Alligator mississippiensis: one gene and its partner. The protein of the gene in region 1 purifies or fractionates together with the protein of each later gene. This does not show direct contact. Links are inferred from orthologs where the notes say so. Each region holds a gene or a part of one and is shown on either strand. Other genes may lie near its edges.

What was found.
Region 2: the proteins of SIKE1 (region 1) and STRIP2 purify together in Homo sapiens (affinity purification with mass spectrometry; 3 studies listed by BioGRID and IntAct, with this or other methods). This does not show direct contact. The link is inferred for Alligator mississippiensis from reciprocal best matches to the Homo sapiens genes SIKE1 and STRIP2.

The regions. Positions count from the first base shown.
Region 1 is NC_081837.1:45,647,600-45,659,429, reverse strand, and holds SIKE1 (suppressor of IKBKE 1), read left to right. Parts: upstream 1-6,428; 5' UTR 6,429-6,436; coding exon 6,437-6,529; intron 6,530-6,754; exon of another isoform or gene 6,755-6,773; coding exon 6,774-6,944; intron 6,945-7,023; coding exon 7,024-7,129; intron 7,130-7,484; coding exon 7,485-7,627; intron 7,628-8,306; coding exon 8,307-8,420; intron 8,421-9,090; coding exon of another isoform or gene 9,091-9,102; exon of another isoform or gene 9,103-9,110; coding exon 9,111-9,212; 3' UTR 9,213-10,629; coding exon of another isoform or gene 10,630-10,635; 3' UTR 10,636-11,219; downstream 11,220-11,830.
Region 2 is NC_081827.1:5,103,458-5,115,492, forward strand, and holds the start of STRIP2 (striatin-interacting protein 2), read left to right. Parts: upstream 1-7,145; 5' UTR 7,146-7,174; coding exon 7,175-7,243; intron 7,244-10,098; coding exon 10,099-10,168; intron 10,169-12,035. Other genes in the region: AHCYL2 (adenosylhomocysteinase 3), read left to right, coding at 524-644, 2,041-2,047. UniProt on the Homo sapiens protein: Plays a role in the regulation of cell morphology and cytoskeletal organization. Required in the control of cell shape. Calmodulin-binding scaffolding protein which is the center of the striatin-interacting phosphatase and kinase (STRIPAK) complexes.

The DNA of each region.
Region 1 (11,830 bases):
CCTTTCGTCAGGCGGAGGAAGTTTCAGCAGTTGGCGCGTGCTCTTCCTGGATGGAATGAAAAGTAAAGAAGCCAGGGGCTGGGCTGGTATGCATACAAGAAAGGCAATCAGTCAATTTTTTCCCAACTATTTGGGTTGGTCTAATAAAAGGTATCAGATTCGACCAAAGAACCTGGTCTGCCTAAATCCTTTTTAACTTTCACTGGGACTTTATGTATCTGAGCCTCAGATTTTTAAAGCTACTTTTGCATTGTTCGCCTTAGAGTAGCAAAGTCTTAACTGATTTAGATAAGTAAATCCTAGTTACAAAAATCACTTAGCTTAAGTCCCAGTGACTTTCAGTGGAACTTGGGGCCCACGTGCCTTTTGGGAAATGGGACATGGCCATCATGTATGCCTTGCAGCACCCAGCTGAGTAACAGATAAATATCTTAAAAAAATCTGGGCTTAAGTCACTTTCAAAGTGGTATTCGGTAACAATGCTTGGCGCCATCACTAGGCACCTATTTTGACACTGCCATTTTTTACTGATTATTTACAAGAAATAGCCAGTTTTGAGAGCGTTAGTCCCAGCACAGCAACTCGGATAAACAAATCACACTAATTATTTACAGCATCTAATCAGCTGAAACTGACATCACATTTTTCAGCAATAAGGCATATCTTGTCTCTGAAAAGGAGCGATAGCCTTTTTTGATCTGCAGCCTGGTTTAAGGTCATTTTAGGTGGCAAAGGAAATCACGAGATACTGTAAACATGCTTTGCTTGATTTTGGCAGGTTTGCATTGGCTCACTCAGTCATCCATTCCGACGGCAAAGATTAACAGAATAGGTTGTGTCTATCAGGAGCCAGAATCTGGTAATATCAAACGGCTGTGCATGGCAAACATATGTACGCTCCCACGCAGGGACAATCAGCAGTGACCATGATCCCAGTCTGACCTGCAAGCCCCTCTTCTCTTTGTCACAACATACTCTTTCGGCACCTTGAGATCGGAACGGGCCCCTCGGCAGGACAGCCTCTGGTGCGAGAGCGTGTCCTGGGCGGAGGTCTAAGACGTGTCACGAGGGTCTAGAGTGGAAGCTCTGTAGACAACTGCTACGGGCTATTGCTGTAGCTGAATCACGTTTTAAGTCAAGCTGCCACCAGAACCGCAGTTCCTATGGCCTGCGTCTCCTAGCAGATCTTGCCTGTAAATGGTTTGGTATTCACATAGTTAAAAGAAATCATATCTGGTCCAGCTGGAACTTTTCTGTGTAACTGACCCTTCCTGCTTGATCTGGTATTGGATTGTTTATGCAACTTCAGTAATTAACCACTATCAGCCTCATTAATGAAACATAAACCACCTCTCCTGCTCATTTATAAAGTACTTGTCAAACCCAATTTAAACAAAGGGCAGAATCTTAAGTAAGTAACAGCCATTCTAAAGCTACTAGGACTCTGCTTATGAGTCACTGTGGTCATTTTGTTGTTTTTCATGCAAAGTAAAATAGAAATTATGGAGTCATCTATTGCTTTTGGCTAGCTCCCTCAGAGTCCATCTGAGATCTGTTACACAGGAGCAACAATGTCTGGACACTATTATTTGCCTTTTTAATGCACAATACTTTGGCTTTTACTCTAAATCATTTAATGATAAAAGCAAAACAATTAGGAATCCTTGGGAAACTTATTGCTAGTTTCACTGCTATAATTTTTGTTACATGTGGGATAAAAAACAGGAGACCCTTGACTATTTTGTGATAGGAAAGCTGTTTTTCTGTACGGCATGACAAGAGGCACGGCTGTTCAAAGCAAACTTGTGAAAGAAAGTTAAATACTGTCTTCATCTAAGATTTGTTCTGTAGCGTTCTACCTTGTTTTACAGGAGTAGCAGGTGCTTCAGTAGAAACTGCCTTTCATCTTAAGCCTCTCCCACGTAAATGGTAACGTGTACAAAAGGAGAAACATTGCCTGGCCCTAGACTATTATTTCTTATGGCTTGTCCAACCGGATAACAGAACGGTCTGATCCCTAAAGAAATAAAAGATCTCAACTCATGGCATTTTGGTGATTGCAGTATAATCACTGGCGGTGACTAGGGGCCCAGTTCTGCACCAATAATGTACTCAGGCCCTAGGGCATGTAGGATAGATGATAATGGCTCGTGTCACAACGTCACTTCCCCCTATAAAGATACCGACTACAGAGAAGGCAAAGAGGAAAAAACAAAAACATACTGTCTTTACTGAAGGGGGAGAGATGGTCAAGGGGATCTTCATTCTCTATTATCATTTCTTGTTAATAGATTTAATAAGGTTAGGCACACTAAGCAAACCTTTGAGGAATACACTCATGTTCCTGTTACCCCATCCTTGCTTCCTATGATCCAATTCTCCGTTGGTTACACTTGCGTAATCTTGGGCCAGCCTTGTCTTGTACCGTGCATCTGTAAAGCACCTACCACAACGAGGCTCTACCTCTTTTTTGATGAATCGTAATCCAGAGCTTTGAGGTCTGGGGTGAAGGTATAGATTTTGTTTGCAGTAGTTCATTCCATACTCTCCTCTGGCAGACTTTACACCAGTACTCACTTCTGCAGCTTAAAGCAACAAGTTTTGCATATTATTTTCTTGACTAGTCAGCTCTTACTTGTGCAGTGTTAGCCTTCCCTGAATATAGCTTTATGTATAGTTAAATCAAAAAGTAATGCTCTTCAGCAAACAGGATCCTGTGTTGCAGCCTAAGGATAAAAATTAGAGATTGATCCTCAGCCACAGAAATGTCACCAGGCAGCACCTTTCAGCTGGGATGTATGCAGATTTCATAAAGGTTGTTTCCCAACTATGACCCAGGAAGAATGAACTATGAGATGCAGTGAACAGCTCCTGTTTAGCATTAGAGTGTGTTCATTCTTCTCCAAAGCTTATTTCAGTTGGTTTAGTGTTAGATAATATAAAGACACTTCTGTTTTATGTCAAAGACATGAGAAATCCTCCTGGTAAAATTAATAGAGAAATAAGCCAGTGGGAGATATAAATTCTCATTAAGTTCTCAAATGTTTTCCTGGAGTAAAGTGGCGGGGAAATACCTCAGTCCTGTAACAAAGATGGTCTTAAACTATTTATCCCTAACACTACCTGTGGTTTTCCTGCAGTCATGGAAAGCGGTTCTTAGTCTTTCTATCGTATCACTTTGCTCTCGGGGCTTAGGACTGGAAATTTCAGACGCCTAAGAGAGTTAGGCATCCAACTCTTGCTGAATTTCAATGAGATTTGAGAGCCTAACTTCTGTCGGCCCCCTTGAAAGCCCCAGCCTAGGATGCAGTCTGCCTTAGAAATGGCATTATACCATCTGTAAAGGTGTGGCTACTTAGAAACGTGGTCAGAGGGGTAGGCAACAAAACCGACGCAGCTGCATTGCGCGTGGCTAGAGTAGGATACTAGGAAGTTCTGTCGAGTTTCCACACTCCACACCCCATTTTGAGTCGCCCTCAGAAAACAAACCGAGAGTGCTAGAGCATGTGGTTCCACGACTACGTAGATCCACTGGTCAAACCTCGCTTCTATACCAATTGGTGGGAGGGCCAGAAGAGCCTCGGGGTTAAGGCTGCATTCAGTGGCTAGCTATGCTGTAGTAGGGAACGATCATTCCCTTCTCCCTGCCGCTGAACCAGGTTCAAATTAACTGACTTGAGCACAGAACCCAAGATTTGTCCCTGAAACATTGTAGCGCATGATGGTCCACGGACACACACGTGCAATATTAAAACAAGAGGACTTAACTGGTGCTTGATCAGATATTCATCACGTTTCAATTGATGGTGATTGTAAATGCATTCAAAACGTAAGGTTTCTGGTGCCAAAATCCTTAAAACACCGAACTGTTACTGTGACTTCAAAAAAGACCTGCCTTCACGGGGCAGAGTATTTTGACACCCTGTCTTAGGCATTGCAAAATAATTATTGTGGAATGCATCTGTCAGCATGTTATCAAGAACGGAGCATAGCTGCTGGGAGACTAAAATAGCTGGGTGTGTATTTCATCCATTTATCAATGATAATGTTTTTCTCTTCCTTCAGCCTGGATTCCATCTTACAGAAATTTGTTTTAATTGTAAAAACAATACTAGACTCATAAACTATGTGGTGCCAATGGCAATTCTTCCAGATTTGTCAGAACTGGATAATGAAGATAAACAATGGGTCTGCATTTCTTAGCGACTTCAAAATCCATTTCCTCCCGCAGTATCTCCTGATGGTGTAATCCTCATCACAGCATTTCTGTCTGTTGTGCATAGCAGTGTTATAGCTTGTAGTGGCAAGAGGTGGGGAGTGCTAATGATGGTGCTAATTGGTAGTGGTTATGTGAAGAATACTACCAATGAAACTGCAACATGACTGGCTCTTCACATGTAAGTTACTGAAATTTTGGCAGAGAGCCATCTGGAACTTATTAATAAAGCTGCAGCTACTCAAGTATTGGCTACTAGATATTTATAGTTTAATTGTAGTTTAACTTAAAAACACTGCACTACTTTTCAGTACAGAATCACTCCATTAAAAGTTTTCCAAGACAGCCTGGAAGCATTTTGCTCTGTCACAGCTTGCTCTTTTTGGAAATAGCGATTTGCTCCTATCTGGCATGTGCTGTTCCTGCTAAAACAAATCCATGTTGCATTTGACAAACTACAGCCATGTAGTTAGGAGTTATTAAAAGCATTAAAGCATTAACCTCTCGTAACCTCATTTTTCACTTTGTACACATACATAAGTGTTTAATCGAATTGAAGTTAAACACTGAAAAATTTGAGAGGCCAACTTTATACATTCTCTTCAGTTTATATAAGGTTGACGTGATAAGAGGCCAAAGGAATTAGAAAGAAGACACCACAGCACAGAAATTGCTCATCACTTGGCTTAAGCTTTGCTACTGCTGTTTGTAAAGCATTTGTGGAGTTAGAGCCTCCATTCCTCCAAATCAAGGGGTCTGGGATGCGGTTCCCTGATGTGGTACCACACCAGCTTGCTCCATCGTTTTGGGGTTTTCTTAATTTAACAAATTCACCTTTTTAAAAGGTCTGCTGGGGAAAGAGCATGTGAGAAAACACCAACCAGCCCGCAGATGCTGGCTGCTTGTGCTGCTGAGTGTCAGCCTGTCACAGTCCTCTGGATGAATTCCTTACTGCCTGAAAAAAGCGTAAGCCAGGCACGCGCTCCCCTGCCCTCCCTCGGCATCTCCTTCTCCAGGGCTGACAAACGTCAGAAGGACGACGGGCCTGAAGCCAGCGTTGCAAGCGAAGGGGCAAGTCAGACGGGCGGTGCGTGATACTCGGGGTGTGCCCGCCGCAACACGGCAGCCCTACTGATGGGCTTCCGGCTGCGCAGCTGGACCTACTCCGTAGCGGACTCGTGCGTGCACGCCTTGGCACGGACACGCTTCTTGGTTCCTATAATTGTATCTACCGTACACAGGACACAGCTCGAGCGGCTGTAGATGTTTGGACTCAGCTGCCCTAAGCCTCAGATACTGCGTGTTTGAGCTCAACGAGGATTACTTCCTCACGCTGGGGAACGGGCAGCACTTTGATCTGCGTGCCCACGACACCTCTGCCCTTCCACCTGCTGCGCAGACGAGTACCGAGGGGCGCTGACAGGAGCTCCCGCACTGGTGCAGCAGGGCTGGGCCGGGCCCGGGCGGGAACAGCAGCAGGTGCGGCGGGCCAGGAGGGACCCACGGGGAAAAGCCTTAGGGGCCCAACCTCACACCAGCACGCCCTCCAGGCCGCGGAGGATGCCCGGCCGAGCCGGAGGTGCGCAGCGGGTGGGGATCCGTCCCGCACCCCTCGGGGCTCCCCGCGCCCATCGCACCTGCTGGCAGGCGGCGCCGCCTGCCAACTCGCCTGCGCGCGTCTCCCGCGTCCACAGCCCACACCGCACCGCGCTCCTCATCCTTCGCACTGATCTGCACCCGCCCCAGCCCCAGCCCAGCGCCCACCCCACCCCGGCCCCTGCAACCATCAGCTCCGGCTCCGCGCAGCGCAGGGCGAAGCAGCCCAACGCCGGCCTGCGGGTGTCCGCAGCGGCCGAGCGAGCCACGGGGCCGCGCCGCCTCGAGCCGAGCGGGCTGCGCCGCGGGGGGCGGCCGGGACCACGTGAGGAGCGCGCGGGGGGCCGGCACCATGTCCACCCCGGAGCAAACAGCGCACACACGGCGGATCAAGGCCGCGGGCGCACCCAGCACGGCGGGGCGGGGCGGGGCGGGGCGGGCGGAGCCGACACCCCCTCCCCGCTGCCCTGACGTTGTTACTGCGTCCTCCTCGCTCCGTGACGTCAGGCCACGCGCCCCCGGCGCCGCCACCCACGTTCCCCCGCGGCCCAGACCCGAGGCCCGGGGCCCGCTCCCGCCGGGCCGCCACTGCGCCTGCGCGCCAGGGCGCCGGGCCGCGGGCGCATGCGCGGTGCCCTCGGCCCGGCGGCGCCGTCTGAGCTGCGCACGCGCCGCCTGCGGGCCGGCGGCGGCTGCGAGGTGCGGCCGAGCCGGACTGTGAGTGCGGCGCCTTCCCGGCGTGCAGCGCACGGCCCCCGCCCCCCCGGGGCCCGGCATCCGCTCCGCTCCGCGCCGCCCCGGGAGCGGGGGCGAGGGGCGGGGCGGGGCGGCGCGGCGGAGGGCGCCTCGCCGCTCCGTGCGTCTGCCCCCTGCCGGCCTCGCGGCGTGGCGCAGGAGGCGGGGCGGGGGCGGGGCGGGGCGGGGCCAGCGGCGCGGTCACACCTGTGCTCACTGCCCGCAGGTCGCGCTCACGATGAGCTGCACGATCGAGAAGATCCTGACGGACGCGCGGACGCTGCTGGACCGGCTCCGCGACCACGACAGCGCGGCCGAGTCGCTCATCGACCAGTCGGCCGCCCTGCACAGGCGCGTGGCTGCCATGAGGCAGGCAGGGGCGGCGGGAGCCGAGCAGGTGAGTGCGGGCGGTGGCAGGCGGGCCAGAGCCGCCGGCCGTCCTCCTGCCCCGTAACCGCGTCCCTCCGTCTCGCCAGGCTCACGACGAGGCCGCCAACGTGAAAGATGTGTCTAAGCTCAAGCCGCACCTCCTGCTCTCCCAAGAGAACACGCAAATCCGGGACCTGCAGCAGGAAAACAGAGGCGAGTCGTGTGCTGCCCCGGCCCCGGCCTGGGCGCCTAACCTTTAGGAAGGGGGCGATGCTGACACGCTTAAGCGCTTGCCCAGCTTGCGCGGGGCTGTACGCACGTGTCGCAGCATCGTGCAACACACGGCTTTCATTGTGTCTAGGTACCGGTAAAGGTGTGGTTCTAGTTTCAGGGAAATTGGGTTGCCTGAAGACTGAGACTGCACATTGTAAATGAACTCCCTAGGTGATCAGTAAGCAAGACGCTGAAGATCAATTGTCAACTTGCCTTTCTTAAGTCTGTGTCTGGCAAAATAAATCCTTCTGCAGCAGTTATGATTTCTTCATAACATTAGTTTTGTATGTTGCAGAATTGTGGATCTCCTTGGAGGAACACCAGGATGCTTTGGAACTGATCATGAGCAAGTACAGGAAGCAGATGTTACAATTAACAAGGGGAGGAAAAGATGAGGATGCTGAACCAGTCTTGAAAGTGCACCAGGCTCAGTCCGTGGTGAGGTGGGGCAGGGAGGTGGCAGGCAGTTTGTGTCACTTGTTTCCACCCAGGGTTGGGAATAAAACTTGCTCTTTAAAAAAACAGGGGCCCCATGCTGTGCTGTTGTCCCTTATGTGCACACTCCCTCTGTATCCTGTTCGAGGAGCACCTCTACTGATCCCTTCATCCATGGCCCCTCATATAGAAACTTCTCTTTCCACACGTGCAGCAACAAAAATCCACGTACCTTTATAATTATTTTAACATCGACCATTTAAAAAGGAATGCATACGCCTCCCAGTTTCCATGTCGTGACCAGTGTTCGGGTTGTTTGTATGCATTGTAAACCATATAATTCCTCAAGGCAGTTATTAAATGATAACAAAGAGTTTAAAGTCTTGCTATTCATCAGGCTGTTGAATTGGTTAAGGAATCTCTATTTTGAATTCCCAAAAGCTGCCAGTGCCACTACTTGAAAGGCCATGCTTTGGTCTGTGTCACATGCACTGATTTAACTAGTGAATCTTTCATTTGTTTTACAACAAAGTTTCAGTGCCCTCCTCTGGAATCTCTCTACAACACAGAGATTAAGAAAAATTAAAGTGTGATGCCCCAAACTGAACAGCATATTCCAGATGAGGCCTCACCAGTAACTGAATACAGGAGAATAATTGGCTCCTGTGCTTTATGTTTGCAGGAGATTGAGAGTCAAATAGACAGAATCTATGAGATGGGAGAAGTGATGAGAAAAGCTGTTCAAGTGGATGACGATCAGTTCTTTACAATTCAGGAAAAACTAGCCCAGTTGGAGGTAAGACCATTGTATAGCTGGGAATTCGGGTAAGTGGGCCTGTTGCCTGCTCACATGCACTTAACAGCAAGTTGTCTAGGTTTTGAGATCCTGAGTGGTTCAGGGGAATCCCTGGTGCTCACACAGGGGTATGGTAAAACCCCTTATTAAGGAAAAATCCGAAAGTGGCACCTAATGTCAAGTTTGTATAGAGTAAGTGAATATATACAAACTCTGATCAGTATCAAATTGTCTAATTCCTGTTGATATTTCAGTATTTCCATAGGAATCGGTAGCCTGGAACTTACTTGAAAATTCTGTTTTGTGCAGAGGGACCCCTAGTCTGATATTGAAATGCTCTCTGCTTTCCGGAAATAGAAAGTGCAGGAGAGAGAGGCCAACCTTGGCCCCCACAGTCTGTGTACTTTTGTCACCAAAGTAAAAGATTTAAAAGTGGAAGCAGTAGGACAGTACCCATCCCTCTCTCAAGCACCCACAGGTCTTTTGTGATACAAATAATCCAGAGATAAAAAGAGAGAGACCTTAGATTGTTTTGCTCCTCTCCTCCCAGTGCTGGGTTGTCCCCTACATTACACTATCAGTAATCTGTCAGGTTTTAAATTTGTTAGACAACAGGGCTTTCTTAACCATTCTTGTCCTTTAATTGTGAGTTAGTTCATTTCTGTTTCAGCCCAAATATTGATTTTGCAGCTTGAAAACAAAGAGCTGCGTGAGCTGTTATCCATCAGCACGGAATCTCCCGCGGTGAGGATAGCGGAGCTGCCGGACAGTGGACCTCAAGCTCCCGAATAACTGTCTCTCTTTGCTCTTGAATTTTTAAAAAACTAAACTATCTGGAACCAACCCTACAGGAAAGCTCACTTTCTTTTGCGTGGTGTTCTTCCACATGTCTCCTGGTACCCTCATTTTTCTCTGTCTTCCACAGTGTATATATTTATTTTCTTAGCACTGCTGTTGAAACATCCCCCTCTGATGGCAATGGTTTGCAATGCTGCTCAGTCTTAATAACAATTAATGGCAGCTTAACCATGAGCTATACTCCTTTGTGCTTGTCTTCCCTAATAAAGCATGCTTCTAGCTCAGCTTCAGTTAAAACTCTTACCTGTGCAGATAGCAGTTTATCTATCTTAACTCCCAGTTCATCGGTGGCTTTATTTTATGAGTGGTTATTTTTTTGTGTAATGGTTGCGATTTAGTTGATGGTTTGAAGAGCTGTCTTTTACATACCAGGATATATGTTTAATTTTTTAAATGGCTAACTCACCAAGCAGTGTGTGGCTGGGTTAACATCGCTGGGATACAGACTGGAAGACTGGCTGCTGCTTGTTGTAGGCAGGTTCAGATACTGGCACAGAATGTTGTTTAGTAATACTTTCTGCGTTTCTTGTGTTGTAACGAACCTGGTATCTGCAACCTCAATGTTCCAATGACTAACAGTATTTTAAATCACAGAAGACTTTTAAATACACGCTTCCAAGTTCTTTTCCTAAGTAACTGAAAGCTGAATTATTAATATTTAATTTAGCAGTTCCATAGGAATGTCAAGTTATTTGTTCAGTCCTCCATCAGAAGGCAGATTTTTGGTGGTCGTGGAGGGATTTAGGGCTCGTCTCTGAATTACGGAAGAAATACTTGCCTCATCCCAGAACATCTTTGGAGAAGCTTAGTCTGAGAGAGGAAAAAGGAATTCTCAATAGGAAGATGCTGGGTGAAAAACCTCCCTTCTTCCATCCCAAGTTAAAAATAAATGAACGAAACAAAGAAAGTTTTTCTTCAGAACTCTTTTTGAGACCAAGCAACATGCTTCTCTTTCCCCTCGTGCCTGGGAGATTGGTATTTTAAGTGCAGGGATTGAAACTGAGCCATTTCTTGTCGTGTGTTTTGCTTTTATGGTAATGTGTTCTGGGAGGTCTGCGTAAGTGCATTCCACGGGCAGGGGACTCGCTGGATTGCACAGCAGTTTGCCTCTCGAGCTGCCGTGAAGTTCAGAAGCGGAAGCAGTTGCCTAGCAGTCATTGCTTAGATCCTCACTAAGCAAAGGGTGGGAAGAGGGTGCCATTTTAATTGTGTTCTTCTGCTAGTCTGCTTTTTTTAAGAGTAAACTTTAGCGCAGTATCTGTGCCCGTTGTCTGTAACTCATAAAGCTGCCCTGAGTTTTTCACGAGAGCTCCAGGCAGTTGGGTGCTCAGCTGCCATTCACTGTTGGTAGGAGTGAGATGCCTGGCTGATGAAGAGCCCCTGTCTGCACAGTCCTTGAACTCCAGGTCCCAAATAAAATGCTTCCAACAAGTTGCTTCAGTTGCTGTAGTGGACTTTTCCCCAGGGAAGCGGTGAGAACTGGCCTCGTCTCTTCTCAACGCAGCCTCCGACGTAGCCGTGTTACAGCTGCCAGGATGCGAGCGCCGGAGCGCGCCACAGAAGGTCGAATTGGCAGAAAAACTGCTGCTGCCGAGTAGCGCGCGAGCACGCCCCGACTAGCGGGAACCGAGCCAGCTGCACATTAGCACCACTCGCAGCTTTATGCCTTAAAGATGCCTTCATTGCCCCCTTCAGAGCCAGATGAGTTCCTGCAGCAGTACGGGCATGTGCTCGTGCCTTGGTTCTGATGTATCTTGTGAATAAGCCGCGGGAGAAGATAGCGTACGATAAGCGATTACAGGGCAAGCGTGGTGTGCCGTGCTGCGCGCTGCTGCGACCCCCTCGCCGGCCAGCTCCAGCGAGCCTTGGAACGGTCCGTTTGTGTCTCGGGACTACCAAGCAGTATGTACTTTTCTCAAAATAAATGCTTACTGTACGTGGCGTGGTGGTGGTCACTACCGTGGGAGCGGCCTGTCGCGGGGGTGTGGGCAGGGCTGCTGTGGGGGTGTCCCTGACGCAGGGCAGCTGCAGCAAGGGATAGAGGGGCCAGACTTAGGCCACCAGCCTGAGTGCCGGCCATGCGACTCCTTCTCCTGCCCCGGGGGGCGGGCAGGAGGCCGGCCTCGGGCCATCCCGGCCCGACCTCACAGGGCCTCGCGCCTGGGCCCGCGCCCGCCTCAACGCAGCCTGGCGCAGGCGCACACGCACCGACGCCGGCTCCTGGGCCGCAGCTCCGGGCACATGCGCAGACCCCGCTGCCGGCGGCCCCGCCCCCCGCGCATGCGCGGCCCCTCCCGCGGTCTCGCGAGAGGCCGGGATTTATTCCTACGTGCCGTGCCGTGCTGCTCATGGCGGCGCTGGAGCGGGGGCGCTGAGCTGTTGGGGTAAGTGCGGCCCCGCGGCCTCCCGCCCGCCCCACCGCCGCCGCCGGACCCTGGGGGGAGTAGCCGGGGGGTTGAGGGGGCGCGTTGCCGGGCAACTGCAGGCCGTCGCCAGCGCCGCCCGGGCCGGGCTAGGCCGGGCCGAGCCGAGCCGTTCTGTCCCGTGGGGGG
Region 2 (12,035 bases), on another chromosome or scaffold:
CTTCCTGCTGGGCTCTGTGTCTGGGGAATGAGAGCGGAGAGCTGAGTCAGCCCTCTTGGGCATCACCTTGAGCAAGGCTGTCGGTCCCGCTGAAAGCAGGCACCTCTTTTCAGGAGGTTTGCACGTCTCAGGGTCTGTAGAGAGGAGACCCCAAGCTCTTCCGTGCAGGAAGGTGGGCAGCAGTGCTGTAGCTCCAGGGTGGAGTCTTATCTCCACACCCCTGCCCAAGCCACAGCCCTCCCGGTCTGGCACTGCTTGGTGAGACCTAAATGGATGAACAGAGGAGGAAACACTAAAGCGGTGGCGGGGCATGAAGACCCAGGAGAGCAGGCCCTGCACTCTGTACCGGGACAGGACTCCTCTTACAGGCAGGATGGGCCACAGCAGACCGTTGCACTTGGTTCGGGACTTTAGTCTGCAAAACCCTGTGTAGCGAGCATTTCCGTGAACCCCGTGCAGAAGGGTGGTGTTGAGGGGGGGACCCAGGGCCTCGCTCACTTCCCAGGCCTTGATCTCATTCCAGATGAGTATGTGGCGAGTCTGCACCTCCCAACGTTCGATGCGCACCTGACCGAGCTGACGGACGAGCAAGCGAAATACCTGGGGCTGAATAAGAACGGGCCTTTCAAACCAAACTACTACAGGTGCTGGCTTGGGGCAGCCCATTCCTCTCTGGGAGGTGGGGGAGGGGGCGATACAGCTGCCCACATCTGCGCGCGTGCGGGGATCAGCTCGAAGCTGTCTGCATGAGCAAGAACGTGCACGATTTAGGGTCCTGCCACACATTCAAACTAAAGCTGGATTGAAACCCGCTGTAAAGTTATTACGCATTTTCAGCCACTAACTTTGTAGCTGATCAGCTCTCTTTATAGCCGGATGGATATTTTTATGGCATGCTCATCATTACTCTGCACGTATGACTGGTCTGAGTTTACGGCGCGATTCACCAGTTAATTGCATGATATATGTAACGTGTGGCAGGGACCTAAGAGCCTGATCTCACCGATCCAGAGGGAGGGTATCGCTGGTGACCTGGTGCTTGCCATTTGGCCAGGTGGGGCTAGACTGACCCAGAAGGCCCCTTGCCCTCCTGTGTCCCAACATGCTGTGTGCAGTGGGGGTGCAGGACAGGGAGAGCTCTGCCTCGGCGCCTTGCCGAGACGAGGCCACCTGGCATACCCAGCGGCAGCTGTCGTTGGAAAGCAGCAGAGCTCGCAGCGCGGCCGTCCGGCCAGCTCAGATGCCCAATTATTTTTCAAGCTCGACGAGCGCAGAACGGGCACCGAGGCCCGTTCCCCAGGGTTACGTTCCTCTGGGGAAGAGTCATAGGGAAGTGGGGCTGGAAGGGAGCTTCAGGGATCATCTAGTCCCGAGGCAGGATCAGCCCTGTCCAAACCAGCCCGTATAAATCCGTCGTCCAACACGACACTGTTAATCCAGACTCGATTGACGCAGTCAGCCCTGACACCACACAGACATCGCACCCGAGCCTGCGGCGAGCAGTGTGCTCTCCATGCAGCGCACTCTCTATCACACGTGGGGGCAGATAGTCCTCCTGACGTGTTGTCCTCCTCTTTGTGCCCTTGAGCATCTACCCCCACTTGTTTAACGCTCCCTCCCCATTTCTGCCAGTGGGCGCTGGCTTCCTCATAGCCTGCACAGAGTAGATGACAGCGCAGCGCGGTAGGAGTCCTCAGCTCGTCGCTGTTTGGGGCCAGCCCGTTAGAAAGAACATCTTCCCCTTCATTAAAGTCCCAGCGCTCCTTTCTGCCACGAGAGCAAGTGGGTGCGCCCCCAGCGAGCTGTCAGAGCTGGGGGTGAACACTTCCCTCGTCCCGGTGAGCCCTGGAGAAGGATGTCCCCGGAGTCATGTCGGACACAACTCGCCCAGGCGCTGGTGCCGACCTGAGGGCTCCCAAACCCCCAAAATGATCGGAGTGAGGGGCGAGCGAGACCTGTCTGAGGCCGATAAGTCAAGAACCGCGCACGTTTTACGCCTCTGCGCTCACTGAAAGCTTCGTGTCTCACCTCTTTTCCCAGGTATTAAGCTCCCGCAGCCAGAAGAAGCGTAAGGAAGAAGAACTCACGTCTTTTCCCAACTACTGTACAGGACGAAACAGTACAAGCTTCCCAAGTCAGAGCTGGACTTGCTCACATAGTAGACAGTGTGTTAGGTTATTTATTTATTAAACTAGAATACTGTACATGCGGCCTCTGCCAATGGTGTTTTTTACTGCCATGGGACTGTGAGACGGTTGATTTTTTCTTTTTTTCTTTTCTTTTATTTTTGGTCAGGGCGGGGGGGGAGGTGGAGGAAGCAAGTCGGAGGCAAAAAGGAAGGCTGGTTGAGTGAATTCGCTGCAAAGTCTCTGTCAGCTTCAAGTAACCCGCGATCGCTGTCCCCACTGGCATACACAGGTGTGGAGGGAAGCGGGCGAGACGTTACTCTGGGTTCCCGTTTTCTGCGTGGAAGCAAAATCCACGGCAGTCGCAAGAACCAGGCCTCAGTGTGCAGGGCCGGTTGGGGGGCTCCGCTCTTTACTTCTCCCACCGTTTGAAACCCAAACTAGCACCGCCTCGTTGGCTCTCGCTCTTGCTGGAGGGGTGCTACCGTGTTCGTGCCTCTCCCGGCGGGTCCCCAGGGTAGCGCTCTCCTTTCATTCTGCTGGTCCGGCAAGGCGGCGGCTCTGACCACGAGCCCCAGTGCTGCCGGAAGCTGCAGTCCAGGGGTTCAGTCGACAGCCCGAGCTGGGGACGCCCCTGCCCAGAATCGGGAGCCAGCAAGGCAGAGACGAGCCCGCTCTCAAGCAGTCCCTCTAGGGTTCCCGTCCATGGAGCACAAGACCCACCGATGCACCTGCTCAGCCGCTTTGCGGTACTTCTCTGCGGCTTACGACCAGTGCCACACTTCCACCAAAGGGATCTCCCTCCTGGACTGCGGCGTGGGGCCTCGAGCTGTCTCGTGGGAGAGCCTTGCTGCTCTGTTGACAAGCGCCGCCTCCATCTCGGGGTCAACCTTGGGGACGACACCCCCTGGGCGCAGTCTTCTCGCTGCCGTGGAGGGAGGCGGCAACGTTGATCGTGTCCAAGGACTGTTCTTGATGCTACGGATCCTTCTCCAGTCGGTATTTCAGCCCTCGCCTGGAGTCCTTGCCGTGTACAGCGACACCCGTTTAACAGAAACGCTTCCCAGACTCCCAGCGCTGGATCTGCCAGCGCCTTCTTTCCATAGTTCATCGCTGAACGAATTCTGGAAAACCTTTTTTGGTTATGAGAGCACCAAGCCCCAGCGCAATTACTACGCTACGGTCTCTGGCTTGAGGATTAGGTTTTCAGCTCAGAATCGCTGTCGTGTTTATGAGACATCGAGTCTCGAGGTGGGAGGGTCATGGAAGACAAGGCTGCCATCATCGCTTGTTCTGGCAGAGATGTCCCGCCTGGATAGTACGTACGATGCACCCAGACGCACGCCCCGCAAGATCACTGTTCGAATGGCCGTGTCTCATCGTACCGATCATCCTGAGAACATTGTTCCTCGTATCAGAACTGCAAGAACTTCAGCCGGCGCTTGCCAAACCTCCACGAGAAGCACTGACCTGAGCACCCAGGCCTTTATTCGTTGCTCTCCACCATGGTATCTGAGCCTCTCATCAGAGGAAGCTCTCTGGATCCTCAGCCTTCCTGAAAGAGGTTTCTGTGGTATTTTCTTTACACACTAAACCCCCCCAATGAACTGTGGTCTTACCTGCAGGGTGTAGGACTGTCGCCCCTAGAGATGACGACTGCTTCCTAGGCTGGCTCATCCCGCATCAGGATTGCTCCCTACAGCAAACTTGCCTCTCTTGCTTTTCAGTAAAACCTCAAAAAACCCACATGATGGAGCTTTCCTTCTAACGTGCTGTCGGAAACCCTCGGCAGCCACGTGTCAGGGACTCACGGCAGAATGATCAGCGATCGGGACGTTCCCTGAATCTTCTCTTCTTGGCAAATTATACTTGGATCGTAACATTTTTAGAAAGAGATCACCTGAAGTGTTTTCCTAAGGCAGGTTGGCCATATTCCATCACACCGGTCGAGTTGTCCAGTCTATAAGGACCTGACTTCGTTACAAGACTCATCCATTTGGTGTGTTTGCAAACGTGGGCTGAAATCTCGGTCCCCCGGGCCATCAGGGGCAGGCCTTCTGTTGACTCCATGGGAGCCAGGATTTCACCCTTAGGCTGCATGCTTTGGGGGGCAAAAGACCTGTGTTGCTCTTCAAGATCCTGGCATGTAGCGGCTGCCCGAGCGGCCAAGGAGGAAGGGACAGACCTAGAAGGGGAGCATGTCCCGGCAGTGCAACACACTGGTCGCAGCGCAGTATCCTGATAGCCAGGGACCGGGGAACACGCAACTCACATCCGATGTAGCTTAGACCGTGGTCTTGTCTCGGGTCTGACGGCACATCCATACATCCAACATGGCCACCTGCTCTTTATCTCACAGGGCTACGTCGGGCATGTGACACTGCTTGTTCAATGGGTGTTGGTTTTCGGCCCCGGTCTGCCTCTGCTCTGCAGGTCAACTTCTCACCGCTCGGGCCCGGGGTCAGTTAAGGAGCAATACGGTATTTCTGCAGCGACCGTTGCCCGCTGCCTCAGCCTCCCCAGGTGGGTGTCACGGCGCTGGTGTGAAATCCCGGCCTTGGCTAGCAACGGCTGACGCTGCTCTTCTCCCAGCACGCTCTCATCTGTGTTGGGCACGCATGTCCCAAACTGGGATAAAGACTGAGGCCCTTGGCTATACGGCAGCATGGCTGGCAGGGTTTGGGGCTGGCAGTGCATCTCACGTGGCCTGGAGCCCAGGGCACCCCACGGCCTGGCTCGTCAGCAGTCTCCCGTTGTGGGCAGCGGGCATCTGCTGTGCTGGCCGCACTTGGCACCAACTGAGCATGTGGCAACAGCTGATCTCCCCGAGAGCTGGTCTTTCACACCAGCGCGGCGGGACCGCCAGCCACCCACTACCTTATTCGTGGCACTGGGGACGCCGGCCAGCCATGTCATCTCTGGAGCGGAGCCGTGGGGGAGGGCAGCTGTGGGTCGCATCGGTCACGGCGGGAGAAGTAGGGTCCAAAGCCAGGCTGGTTCTGCCCCGGGGGAGACAGTGGTCCCATCCCCGCAGCTGAGGACAGTCGCTTCCCTGGTCCACGTCCGTCGGTAGTGTGGCCCGTGGTGGGGCTGTCCTCCCCGGAGAGCCTGTGCTGATTTTAAACCTATTTTATCTTCTGTGTAGATACAAGAAGGAAAAAATTAATGAATTAATAATGACACCAAATACTCCTAAATGACTTCTTTCCCCTTGAATCTTTTAAAAAGCTTTCTCTATGTGACTCCGCTTTTCCATAAGCTTTTCCGCTTGCTTGGCTTCGGATCAATCTGGGATCCTCCTCTCAGAGTTGTCCCCGGGGGGTTTCTTTGGGTTTCTTTTCTTTTTTTTTTAATGTAACAAATTCAAAAAGAAAAAAAAAGAGGGGGGGAAAGGAGAGCGGAGACACCAGCACGATGATCTGAGGAGGAGCATTCGGTTGTTGAACTTTAGAAACCAGGACAAAAATGAAATAATCTGTCACATCTACAGTCGGTGACGACATTGCGAAGCGTAACCTTTTCAAACGGATGTTTTAAATATTCATGTCTGAGTGATTGTATTAGAGCAGCAATAAAGACTCTGTAATCTCAAAACGCCAATAAAGCGTCGGAAAAGTGGCTGGTGCCTGGGCTGTGTTCACCGTGCACAGACAGCGGTGGGACCGTGGCCGGTGTCTGCCCCGGGCAGTCGAGCGCTAAAGAGGAGCCAAAAACCAGGGCTGAGAGGTGGGAACGGCAAGGGCCGCGCGGTCCCGGGGCAGCCGGACGTCACATCTGAGTCAACCCTGGGGCATGACGAGACTCCAGCCCCGCTCCCCTCGTCCCCTGTCCGGGCAGGGGGAGCAGAGCTGACTGTCTTGGCAGTTCCCGTGTCGGGGTGGCGGCTCCGTGTCCCCCTGGCAGGTTCTCACTTTCTCTGACCTGAGTGCCTCTCCCCATCCAGGCCCGGCACTGGGGGCACGTGGGACTGGGGGGCGGAAGGGAACCTAATGAGCAGTGACTTGGCAGCAATCTGTGCCGCCCGGGGCGCTGGCAGCCTTGGCTGCGGCCTGGGGGATCCTTTGCTGGGGAGTCTCCTGCCCCGGCCTGGCCAGGCTGGAAGGAGATGTCTCGTTTGACACAGGCCTGGCTTTTCCTGAGTTTCACCCGGATCGGCACGGCCATCTACACCCCTAGCCGTGCTGCTGCTCCTCCGCCAGCAGGGGGAGGGAGCGTGCAGCCTGGCCAGCAGTTGGGGCTGGGGACTGGGGAGGCCACCCTGCAGCGCAGTGCCGCGAGTGACACGAGCAGCGTCTGCGCGGCACGCGGGAGGTGAGGGAGGGACCACAGAGATCAGCGGCCAAAAAGGTTGCCCTTCCTCCCTCCACCCCCTCTATTAGGGACTGACCCGGGACAGCCCAGCTCCATCCCGGGGAAGCATTAGCGCCTTTTATTCTGGGCAGGGGAGGGACCAGACGCCTCTGCCCATAGGGTTGCGGGACCAGAGGCAGCTCCTGGCTCCAGCCCCGTGGGGGCAACTGGAAACCGTGCCCAATACCAGTGTGCCCTTCCCCGGCCCTGCCTGGACAGTCCCGTTCACCGCTCCTGTCCGCAGGGGGGCAGCGAGGGCAGCTGGAGGAGGAGGAGGAAGCACCAGCGGGGATGCCCCGAGCCCCCCAGTGATGCAGGAGTGGGGGGTCTGCGCGGGTGCGGTGGCACTGTGGGCTGGTGCTGGGGACCAGGCGTGGAGGGAGGTGGCAGGGAGGAGCCCGGGGTCCCTGGGCCTGGACCCAGCGCCTCGCCCCGCGCCTCCACGTGCCCTTCGCACCCCGCCCCTCCCCTGGCAGCCAATCGCCGCCAGGGGGGCGAGTCGCAGCCAGCCAATGGGCGCGCGGCGGGGCGCGGCGAAACCACGCGTTCCACTGCCCCGCCCCGTCCAGCGGCGCGGCCAACGGGCGCCCGGGGGTGTGTCCCCGCGGAGCCGCCCCCCGGCCAATGAGCGCGCGGGGGCGTGGCGGGGCCGCGGGAGCCGCCCCACGTGCGCGGCGGGCGCAGAGCGGCGCGGACACATGGAGGAGGCGGCGCCCGCCCGCGCCCACGGCCGGGACCTGCTCCGCGCCCCGCGCGCCGGCTCCCAGGTGGGTGCTATGCAACCTCCCCTGCCGTCGGGGGGAGAGAGCCGGGCCCCTCTTTCCGTGGGCTCTGGACCGGCTGCAAAGAGGGCAGGGGAGGGCAGGGGAGGAAGCGTGCTGAAGTCTCGGGACAGGAGCCGGGTGCGCGGCGCAGCCCGGCTGTGGCTGCGGGCTAACGAGGCCGCTGGATCAGTCTGGAGGCTGCCGGAGCGTGGGCTGGGAGGTCGCGTCCAGTCCAGCGCCCTGCCTGAGACAGGGTCAGCCCCGTCCAAACCCTCCTGTGCAAAGCACGATCCCCAACCAGAAGCAGAAAAGGGATTTGCTCGGGTCTGGGGTCTCTTGTTGGAAAGGCGAGGGCGGGCTGGGCGCCGCGTGCTTCACGCCGCTCGTTTAAAATATAGCCGGTACAGCAAGTCGTTGCCCCGGCTATAACAGTTCTCCGGCCGTGTTCGTGGCTCCAGATTCACGCCGCCGGGATTCCCATCCTAGCTTGAATCCCCCCCAGGAGCGACCGCAGGGTTTTGCTGGCAGCGGGTCCAGCCTGGCTCCTCGCTTCTGACCGCGCAAGTTGTTCACCCGCTTCACAGCCCTTTCCGTCCTGGCTCGGGCGGGCGAGCCTCCGATACAGCCCGTGGCGGTCGGCTTGTCACTAAAAGTCTGAATGCGAGTGGTTACGTGGTTACAATCGCACTTGGCGTTGGGGTAGGAGTGGGGGGAGGCGACTGAGGCTACATTTCACGAGCCAACTCTGCTCAAAAGCCTCCTCAGGCCAACGCAGATGCTCGCCGGGCCCGGAAACGGCAAGGCAAAGCCCGCAAGAGGGGTGCCGGGGACGTGATCGTTGTGAATAGCGGCAGTGTTAGTTCTTCCTCCGGGTGCCGGGTCCTCGTTAATGCAGTGCCTCGGCGTGGTGACCTTGGACCTCTTCTTGCTGTGCCGGTGATAACGGCTATCACTGCTATTCGAGTGCGACTGATACTGGACATCAGTTTCTGCATGTAGGGATCAGGAAACAGGTGGGGGTCCACGTTGCCTCCTCTGTCGGCCGAGGGGCGCAATCACGTTCTGTTGCTCGTTCTGCACCCTTCGTAGCACGGTGCCAGGCTCGCCTGTCACAGGCCGTACCCTCCCAGGACATTAGGCACGTCTACACGTGCACTTTACTGCATAGTAGATTGTTTTACTGCGCATTAAAGCATCACATAAACACTGTGACGTTATGCTAATAGCCTACTGCGCATTAAGTGTCACTAAAAAAAGCATGCAAACGTGCTCCTGCGTATTAGCACAGCCGAACATGCGTTCATGTAGCCCTGCACCTTGGAGGTACTAATTTACTGCACATGAGGAAAGGCGCATTAATGCAAGTGTAGACGCACCCATTAAGTTTAGCCTGGCAGACTGCATGTGCCGCTTAATGCAGTCCCGTGTTTTTCAGTTCTTCTCAACTCTGAATAATTTTTTGGTTCCCTTCGGCTGCTATTTGTGCTGCCTCGTGTCCTCTAGCGGGTCGCGTGCACATGCTCACGTTGCCTTCCTGCACTTGTTTCTTCAGATCCTTTGCAAAAGGTTCATGCCCCAGTTCCTTGATTTGGCCGGCAGAGTTTCCACAGGGTAGAGACCTACTTGCAGCCTGAGCAGCTGTGTTCTGCAGAGGCGAAACGATAGCCTCGGGACACTGTAGCATGGGTGGGGAAAATACCCAATGGCTGGTATTCGACTAGCAGGTGCAAATCTACCTGACTTCAGACTAGCACAGCTGCCTGCCTCTCCCTGGTACGACACCTACACGGTGCATCGTCACTGCGGGGCCCGGGAAATACGGGAGATGTCTGTGGACAGCCACTGCAACATGGCTGGAAACGGAGGGAGAGTAAAGTCACGGCTCGGTAGCGAGGAGGGAAACGGGAGGACACCGTGCCTGGTTGTGACCCTTGTTAACGACTGGCTCTTGCATTTTGTATTGTGATTTCAGGAATCTTCCCCAGCTCGCGTGCCCTCGTACGCTTGTATCTACTAATATTTTCAATTAAAAAAAAAAAGACAGACAAAAAAACCCTTTAGTGCTAGGTTTTCTGTCTGCACGTGCCCTGAGCGGTCCCTTGTGCTGCCAGTCGCCCCTCCGCAGGGTTCCTCATGGAGCATAACACACCAGCCTTAATTTAGGAAAGCATCCCAAGTATTTGTATCTGCATCTATAGATAGGTGGGTCTTCTCTGGTGGTGGAAGTGCGGGCAGGCAGGCGTTCAGGCACCACCTTGGGTGGCATTTGTAGCATGGTTCAGAGCATTGTCGGATGCGTAAAAGAAAGAAAAGTCCCTTTTAAAAAAGCTTTTAAAACTTTTTTCTTTAAAAAACGTCTCTCTCTAAACAGAGCTAACTACCGCTTCCTTGTAAAGAGCCAGGCTCTCGGACAGGTTGGAGCAGCCCGGGATGCCCACGTGCCACTATTAAATGTAGGAGTTGCAGTCTGGAACCGCTGGGTCCTTGTTTGGGTGATAGCAACACCCAAGTGGCTTTGGAAACGCGATCAAAATAGCCTTTCCGACCAGGCGGTGTATGGTAAATGGTCTGCACGCGTTCCCTGCCCCGGCCCTAGAGAAGAGCTCCCGTCTGCTGGGGTGATTGCTCCCTGGGGCCAAGGTTTGATCAACTTTCATGGATGCTGCAAAAGTCAAACGGGGAGATCCATCCTGATGTAGCCTTAGCATCCTCTCTCGACTCTCCTGGCCTCGTTCTTGGGACATCCCTGGCTGCTCAGTTTGACACGCGCATCGATTAGCAGAATCGTGATCGCTCCAGTTCCTCTGGATGGGAAACGGGCCCTGACGCTGCATTAACAAAGACTCTTTCTGCCGCAGGGTTCAGTGGACTACCCCAGCCTGGAGTTCGAGTATGGGGACACCGACGGCTACACGGCTGAACTGTCAGGTAAAGAGGCACGCGGGGAGCCGAGGCTTTTGCTGCGCACGAGTTCAACTTCGCTATTAATAGCTGCCTGCTGGGTAGACAGCGAGGCTGGGGTTGGTGGGAGATGCATATTTAATAATATCATCCTATATTAATAGAGCGCCACTCACCCCAGAGGATTGCAGAGTGCTCTGCAAACCACGCGCAGCAGAAGTGACTTCCTCCCCCGCTGAAACGCAGCCATTCGCGGGGCGGGACAGGAGAGCTGCGAACGGTGCCGCTGGTTTGGGTGGGAAGTGAAATGCGTGAGGCGTGAGGGCCTTGTAGCCAAGTTGCTGGAGATATTTGAATGCCCTGATGTCACGTCGGCAGTGGCTTGTGGTGTGCGGGGCCCTCCTCTTCCACCCCTCCCTGACCAACCTGGATTCATCCATGTCTGAGTTCACTAATCATTAGAGCACATGCACGTGCACATACACATACACGTGCGCATGGCACCTGTGGTGTCTTGAATAGTGCAAGGCGTCTGGGAAGGATTCGGGCAAGAGAAATCGGCCTCTTCCCCGATCCCCTCTCTCCTGTATGCGAAGAGCTCACATTGGTAATGTAGTTTCGTGCCAGTCTGTTACGTGCTTTGCAGCTGGAACAGGGCTGGGATCTCTGCTGGGGCTCACGCTGACGGCCGATAGTCCAGCTTTCCTCGGTTAGCAATGCGTGGGCGACGCGTGCTCTTGGCCGCGGTGGAGGGCTGAAACGGGCACTTCCAGACCCAAGCGCCAGCACAGTTACCGCTTGCAAAACTCCAGGTTCAGCAGCTGGGGGATGCAAGTGCTTGTATCCTCTCCGTAGCAGCAGAGAGAGGGCTCGTAGCATCCGCTCATCAGTGCTTTCCCCAGGCATCAGCACTCAGGGGACCGAGACGCCCATCCAGTAACCAGACGCTGCTTCATTAAACCACATCGCTACCCTTCTGCAGCAAAGATCCCTCTCTTGCTGATGCTAGATTGCAGTTCAGGTGGTCGAAAGCTCTTGGAGCAGGATCATCGGGGACATGGTCCCACGTCACAGTGAGGTCGGGCCTTTCTCTACTTTGTGTCTGCTGCTCTAGTGAAAATGCAGCCTGTGGATGTGTGGGCTCAGGCCCAGGCAGTGAAAGGCTGGGGCATCCCCTAACATCCCTGAATCTAAGGGCTCCACCATTTTTGGAGGAAAATAACAGCAAGAGAGCAGGGAACCCAAAGCACGTTCGCTGCTGTTGCATGTACGGCAGAGCATATTTGCGGCTGCTGCGCGTACAGCAGAGTCTGCGGAGATTTCGGTACGCTGGGGTGTTTCTCCTGCTTTCCAAAGCTTCGGCCTCCAGACCAGGAGGATGCCGGCGGAGGGTGCTGCACTGTCAGGCGTGCCTGTACAGCAAAAGGCAAGGTTGGCGGCAACAGCTTGGGCTTTCCCCTATGCTAGCAAGCAGAGACCCAACTCCGAGAGGCTGGCTATGTGTTCAGGTCACTACTGCCCGAGAGACCCTGTGTCACTGCGTCTCCCCTGCTGCCGATACCTCTGCTGCAGTCGCCCCTTTGCTTTGCTGGCAAACTTCCCAGCTCCTTTGCAGAGGCTGCTGTACGGCCATCAGAGAGCAACAGCTTTTTGGGACGGGCTGAGAAGTGCCAGGCTTCCTTCCTTCCTCATTCCTGGACTGCCTGTTGCTGTTGATTGGGGTTTATCGTAGCTGCGCCCGAGCTGAGCTGCCAGCGGCATGCGGTGCTCCTGTCATGAGACGGTGCCCGCGCCCGGAGCGTCAGCGTTTCATGTCTGTGTTTCACTCGCTGGCTCGATCGTCACCCCCACGCGCCAAGTCCGGCTGGCGGGCTCGAGCAGCGCGCTTGGGTGG